2 linked regions of the Daphnia pulex genome follow. The protein of the gene in region 1 purifies or fractionates together with the protein of each later gene. This does not show direct contact. Links are inferred from orthologs where the notes say so. Each region holds a gene or a part of one and is shown in the gene's direction. Other genes may lie near its edges.

What was found.
Region 2: the proteins of protein CASC3-like (region 1) and regulator of nonsense transcripts 2-like fractionate together in Homo sapiens (co-fractionation; 3 studies listed by BioGRID and IntAct). This does not show direct contact. The link is inferred for Daphnia pulex from reciprocal best matches to the Homo sapiens genes CASC3 and UPF2.

What each region holds. Positions count from the first base shown.
Region 1 is NC_060026.1:13,506,340-13,510,618, forward strand, and holds the start of protein CASC3-like, read left to right. Parts: upstream 1-1,460; 5' UTR 1,461-1,848; intron 1,849-1,864; exon of another isoform or gene 1,865-2,143; 5' UTR 2,144-2,190; coding exon 2,191-2,280; intron 2,281-2,347; coding exon 2,348-3,366; intron 3,367-3,435; coding exon 3,436-3,606; intron 3,607-3,676; coding exon 3,677-4,279. Other genes in the region: beta-1,3-glucan-binding protein-like, read right to left, coding at 592-726, 780-976. UniProt on the Homo sapiens protein: Required for pre-mRNA splicing as component of the spliceosome. Core component of the splicing-dependent multiprotein exon junction complex (EJC) deposited at splice junctions on mRNAs.
Region 2 is NC_060024.1:11,698,142-11,700,900, reverse strand, and holds the end of regulator of nonsense transcripts 2-like, read left to right. Parts: coding exon 1-179; intron 180-254; coding exon 255-434; intron 435-499; coding exon 500-691; intron 692-755; coding exon 756-818; intron 819-886; coding exon 887-1,274; intron 1,275-1,336; coding exon 1,337-1,575; intron 1,576-1,640; coding exon 1,641-1,733; intron 1,734-1,754; exon of another isoform or gene 1,755-1,821; coding exon 1,822-1,935; 3' UTR 1,936-2,074; coding exon of another isoform or gene 2,075-2,166; 3' UTR 2,167-2,242; downstream 2,243-2,759. Other genes in the region: cationic amino acid transporter 2-like, read right to left, coding at 2,075-2,166, 2,248-2,356, 2,417-2,583, 2,643-2,759. UniProt on the Homo sapiens protein: Involved in nonsense-mediated decay (NMD) of mRNAs containing premature stop codons by associating with the nuclear exon junction complex (EJC).

The sequences.
Region 1 (4,279 bases):
AACATTTTTACAACATCTAGTTCCTTAAGAAAACTGTATTCTGCCACCAAACCAATGGGGCCAGTGAGTTGTTCATCCCAAAATATTGCCTAGCATAATTGATGAATTTACGAACATTTCTTAAATGGAATAGCACACACCAAAATACCTTTGTTCCACTGAACTTCTCTAAAAGAGAAACAATATCCTGTAACAATAACAAAACTGTTGACGAAATTTATTTTTACTGAACAAGACATCAACAGACTGTCAACAGACAACCTAATGGATTTTGTGGTTGTCCTAAGTCACAAAAAGCTAATGACTAAATCCGCATAAAATGAAATAAAATTTAGTATTACCAAATGAATCGAAACTTACCTATCCGCTGAGATAAATTACTGTAAGTTTACACAAAAAGTTTGAAGAAAATCGATGCAGTAGTTTAGATTTCTATAAATTTATTCTGATTCTGAATTAAAGGTTCTGGAAGCCTGGCCCAGAACAGCGTACACTCCCCCCACATCCCTCCCCCTCCTACACACCCAGACACCCGCATTTACTTTAATGCCTTCTGGTAGTACAAGTACTACCCTCAGGGATAATAATTACACATAGCAACCGCCATCGATGTCCACATTGCAGCCTTCCTTATACAAATCAAGTGTGCCATTGTACAGAAAAGCCTCGCCAAAACGATCCGCTGTCAATGTTGGCTTGATGTATAGGATCCCATCTCGAACGTAACTTTAAATTGAAATGAGTTATTTCCATTTTGAAATTCAATTTGAAAATAATACCTGTTTTCGGGTAGATTGTCGTAATATTGGAATTCACTGTTGCCCCCTCGCCATGCTGTAATTAGGTGCTTCCATTTGTTTGTGTCAAGAAATTCAAAATCATCTTGCCAGAGGATTGGTCCGCGCGCTTGGTTGTCAATGCTAGATCCGTGACAAACTGCCAGAGCAAAAAGGGCGATAATAGAGAGCTTCATCATGGCTTTGGCAGTGAACGGTAAGGAGAATATTTATAATTCTGACTGTTACCGGTTAAAGAATGAACGTAACATAGCTTTTATACTTTACCACAAGGACATATAGGATTTGAATCAGAAAATATTTTTTATCAATTCATGACATAAGCAAGACTCATTACACTTTGACCGCAAGATGCTAAATATTTTGACCTTTGAAAATATGGTGTAAAGGATTTTTGTTTGTAACGACGAGTATCCGGGTGGATTCAAGTCGAAATAAAATACAGCTTAGGTTATTCAAACATTTTTAAAACTGAACTATTTTTTTTTTTACTGTTTTACATTTATTCCCAATGTCAATTAAAAAATATTTTTCCTCGTCACCGTGGTATGTTTCTAGTACCGCTATACTTGAACTGAATAAAAAATAATCAATTCAAATGTAGTCAAGCGGACTTGGAAGGAACGTGATCGCGACGTGACAAAAACGTGATTGAAATGTGGAACAGCATTACGTAATAACACAAATTCTGTGTGTGATGTAGTGGTTAATAGACTAATAGTTTCCAGTAAGTAAAGGGGTTCAACGTTCTTTTTTCCCCCGACTCTTGTCTGTTATTTTACTTTGAAACAATATCCGGTAAGCCACCGGAATTGCCAAACAGTTATTGGTACTGTTATTCTGTACTGAAGGTTAAGAACACATATAACACTATAATAAATCCGGCTATATTCATAAGTATGAAATTTAATTGAAAGTACTTTAATTAACATGTTTATACGCTCCGACTCCGAGTAAATAACATAACCTAAATAAGGAGAGAAACACTGCGAGGCAACGATAGCGTTATCAGCCTACAGCTATCGACGAAAGAGGATACAAAAAAAGAAAGGTAAAATATTTACTTTTTTGTTTTTTTCTGAAAAGGGCCAACCACCCAACAACTTGGGTTGGTTGTTGGTATGCTCCGAATGTCCGCAGTCCTCCGCACCTTGATTTTCTATAACAAGCCAGTGATTGTGTTGTAAGGTCGATCTGGCAATGTTTTTCCCAGCCCCGTATTACTTTTAGGCGACTTTCATCTGTAATCTACACTTTCTAATCTATTTCGTCAAGCAATTACTTTTTAAAGCTATATTACTTATGACTGTAGAAAAATTTCACTATATTTAGTGCTCAACTCTTAGGATTTGGGTGGGGCTTTCAGTATAAACAAACAATTCAACCGGAAAACATGGCCGACGACGACAGCAGGCGTGGTGTAACCAGTGTGGCAGATGCCGACTCGGCTGAGCAAAGCACTAACAGCGGTGACAATCCACAGGTGAAAATAGTTGTGTTAATTTGACAACCAAAACAATGTCCAATAATATTTCCCATTGTCTGTTTAGGCTGAATCAAAAGCGGTGACAGATGACGTTGCAGTTGCCAGTCAACCCACTGAGGAGACACCAGAAGACAAGACGATTCCAGATGCCCCCAAAGCTTCTGCAGAGGTGATCACGTCTGCCACAAGAGATTCAGAAGAAACCAAAAATCGGTTGGCCAAGGCCAGAGAAGAGCTTAACAAAGCAAGAGAGGAATCGGCTAGAGCTAGGGATGAAGTTGAAAAAGCAAAAAAAGATCTTGCTGTGGCTAAGCAGGACACCTCAGCAACAATCCAAGTTGCAGTTGAAAAGCCATCAGCAGAAGTCAATGTTGCTGCTTCAGAATCCACCCCGAAAGTCGAAACAGAAATAGAAAAGCCTAGTAAAGCGGAAGAAGCTCCAGCTGTCACTGAACATGTTGAGAACAGCAAGAAAGAGGAAAAACCAGAGATACAACCAGAAACCCCTAAAGAAGAAAAGCTGGTACCCGAAGATTCCAAAAACTCAAATCAAAATTGTGAAGCTACTGAACCAAACGAGGAAGTTGGAGAAGAAAAACCTGTCACAGCCCATGAATCTCAGTCAGCAGTAGAAACTAAAACAGTCGAAGAGGAAGCTAAGGTAGAAGACACAGTAGTGACTGCTGACAATTCAAATGCCACCAAGGAAATTCAAGTAGAGAGCAACAAAGAGGTGGAAACACCAGTTGGAGCAACAGAGGAAGTGCAAGAAGAGTCTCATGTGGAAGAAAAACAACCTGAAAGCAGTAAAGACGAAGAAGGTGAGATAGTTGAAGGTGAAAACGAAGAAGGTGAGCTAGTTGAAGATGAAGAAGGCGAAGAAGTTGAAGGAGAACATGAAGAAGAAGAGGTTGTAGAAGGTGAACGGGAAGAAGGCGATGGAGAAGAAAGTGACGACGAAGATGCTCCAGCCAAGCCGTTAGATGATGATGAAGACCGTCGAAACCCTCAATATATTCCAAAAAGAGGTGGCTTTTATGAACACGATGACCGAAATCGTGAAGAAGTTGAAGAGGCAGCTGCGTAATTATAACAAGTTTCCCCTTTAACTTGTTTCATTTAAAATAATATTATTTTTTAACATTTTTGCAGTGAAGAGCCTGTAGCCGGAGTAGAGGTGGAAAAGCCGAAGAAGACGAGAAGTGAAGCCATCGATCGTTGGGGTCATGATATGTTTGACCCAAATCAGCAAGTGCCCAAGAGTGATCAAGAGTTGGTTGATCTCTATGGATACGACATTCGCCAGGAAGAAGGAGCTCCGAGGTATAATGCACGTCTATTGAGTTAGCAAGCACTTGTTTTTACTAACCGTCTGGGGAATCTATTTTTACAGGGCGCGCCGTCGCAGACGTTATGGTCGTGGCCCAAACAAGTACGATCGTACATGGGAAGATGAAGATGCTTATTCTCGGCCTCGCGGACGTGGTGGTGTTGCCTCAAGAGGTGGTCCCTCAGAACGTGGCTCTGGATTTGAACGCAATCCCGATTCCCGTCCGCGCACGCAGCGCCAAGAAATGCCCAAAAAGGATGAATTCCCCGCATTATCGGATGGCAAACAGGAGCCCAAGGCCCAGGGAGAGACTGCCCCAAAGCAATCTTCCCAATCCAATTGGAGAGAAGGTGAAAGAGGAATTGGAATGACTGGAGGCAACGAACGTCGCGGCGGTGGTAACAGCAACAATAGCAATAACAGTAAGGCGAACGCTGTTTCTTATCGACGTGGAGGAGGCGGACGAACATTCGAAGAGCGTCGAGAAATGAGAGAAGCCAAAGGACTTAGAGCCCGAAGTGACAGTGTGCCACAGTCTGGTGAAGGAGATGAAGAACAGTCTGCTGACCAACCTCCCAAAGAAAATATTAGAAGCCCCAGAAGACCAATGGGAGCAGAAGCTTCTCCTCGCGGTGCCCCTCGTGGAGGAAGCTCACGAGGCACTGG
Region 2 (2,759 bases), on another chromosome or scaffold:
CCGAGTTGACACTCTATCAGGAATTCGTTGGTCACCGGATAGTCGATGCCGTTTTGGAGGATATAAGATGGAGTTTAGAGTTTCCCATATCGAAATTCAATCAAAGGCGCGTGAGCATGGCAAAATATCTGGCCGAGCTCTACAACTACCGCATGGTTGAATCATCGGTCGTCTTCAAAGTATTGCACATTATTTAATTTGTTTTTTCTATTTTACCAGCAACTAAAATTGCTGACATAAAAAAATATCTGCAGGTTCTGTACACTTGCATCACGTTCGCAGTCAGTTTCGATTATAATATCGAATCGGATTTGGATCAACCAGATAACCTTATGCGTTTACGATTAGTCTTGACTATCCTTGACACATGCGGAGTCTTTTTCAGTTCGGGATTGTCTAAAAAACGGTTGGACTATTACCTGGTTTATCTGCAGGTAACTAATGCTTAGCTGTCATAGTCTGTTTACAGTTTTGATTAATGGCGACCTTTTGTGTTTAGTACTACTATTTGTTCAAAAGATCTTTGCCGATCTGGACTGATGACAATCCATTTCCAGTAGCAATTGATTTTGGCATTAAGGACATGCTGTTGACCCTGCGTCCGAAATTGAAAGCTTATAAAACCCTGCAAGAAGCTGCCGATGCAGTGGAAAATCTGGAGAAGGAACTGATGAATAAACTTTCACAAGCTGTAACTATCCATACTTTGTGGATTTTGAATTTAAAATTAAACCTTGTGTCGTTATGTTTCTTAGATGCCAGAATTGCAGATGGACGTGGTACTTGCTGATGATACCTTGGCCTGCATCGAAGAAGAGGTAATGTTCAATAGGAACTTAAGCAAAGAAAAAATTAAAATTATTGGAAATTGTTTTATTTAAAAAAGGATATGGAGGAAGGCGAAGAAATGCGGGAATTGGACGACGACTCTATCAATGATGAGCAATCGCTTTCTCGTTCCATGTCTCAAATGACCACACGTGGTGAAACCACCCAACCGGACGAAGACACGCACAACGTCGAAGCAAGTGGAATTTGTAATGCTAGAAAATGGTTGGATGCTAATATGAGTCATTTGTTACAGGACGACCGCTGTGTGGTGACAGCACCTCGGAAAGCGCTTTGTCCCGAAGATGACGATTTCATGGCCGCTCTAGATCGTATGGTGGCCGAGAACATTCACGATGCATACACTCGCGGCAAGGAAGTCAGCAAACCACCTGCCGTCGATATTGCCATCCCTTGGCAGGTTAAGGCATCGCTCAAAAGACCTGGTGCGTTAAGAAAAAAAGGACCGAGCTGTTCATTTATTAATCAATCACTTGGCGCGTTGCAGATGGATCGGATAAAAATTTTCTGGGCGATTCCATTGGAGGTGAATTGGGAGGTGCCTTGGCAGTTGCTGAAGCTTCTTCTGCCTGTGCCGCCATCGCTTCGTCTCCTCCTTCAGCAGTCCATGACAATCCTACGGTGAATTTCTTCCTAATGACGCGTAAAGGCAATAAGCCACAGTTCAAGAATCTGGCAGTGCCTTCGGACTCTGAACTTGCACAGAACCTACGGAATCGTGAAGAGGTACTGTCTTCCACTTGACTTTTTTAAATGACGGGGTTTAATTTCTATTCTGACTCGCGACACAGGCCGAAAAAGCGGAGAAGGAACGTGTCAAAAAGTTGACACTGGATTTCAATGAACGCCAGGAAGAAGAAGAGTTCCAGGATTTGTACGGCGGAGTAAGTGATGAAAAATGCAGAAAGTTCTCAATATTATTTATTGAAATACATTTGACTTGGAGTTACAACAAAATATTTATGTTTGTAGGTAAATCGTCCAGCTGTTCACAACGTCAATCGCGATCGCCGAGGTCGTTTCCAGCATCCCAAAGGCGTTCCGGACGCTGAGCTCATATTTGGAGGAGCGAGAAAGAATCGGTGAAATAATTCAGCCGTCCCCCAGGGGCGATGTTCAGAGTTTTGATTAGTTTTTTTGAGCAAATAAGTAAAATTAAAAGGGATCCAGAAATATCACGGAACAATCCACGGGTTGCGGAAGCGATGTACGACGAGACATAGGTTTATTTTACGTCATAATTGACGTCGTATTTTCCCTGCATACGTGTCTCTTCCTTGCTGTTTCGCCAGCCGTAAACAATGTAAACAGATAAACCTGACAGAAATGAAGCAAGCAAATAATTACTGTTTAAGTTCAATACAAGAATTGTTTGTTTTTTTTCCCTTTTCAACTTGCCTATGGCCATGTAAATGGAGTATTGAACCCAGGTAACCATCCTCATATTCACCATTAAATACGCATTGATCAAGATACTCAAAGCTGGCAGCAATGGAACTAGAGGGACCTAATTATATTTCAATTGATTAGATAAGCGAAATCTGATTTTGGGAGAGAAATATGGTACTTTGAATGCAAGCTGGTTGGGTGATTGCGGCAGTCGATGGATGGCCACCAGTGATATCAGTAAAATAGTTGTCAGACATCCAACTAAAGTTAGAGCCCACGTTTCCTTTTGCACGAGGTTATCCGCCGTGTAAGAGAGACTGAGGCTAAGTGCGATTGCAACCAGTACTATAGATAATTAATAGATAATTAATAAAATCTTCTATAAAGAAATTAGTGGGAAATACCGTAAACAACAGTGAGCCAGGAAGCAACTTTGCCGCTGAATCCGGTTGGTAGACGTCCACGTTGAACGAAAATCTGTCTCAACACTGTCTGGCTTTCAACTGAGGAATCGGACACGT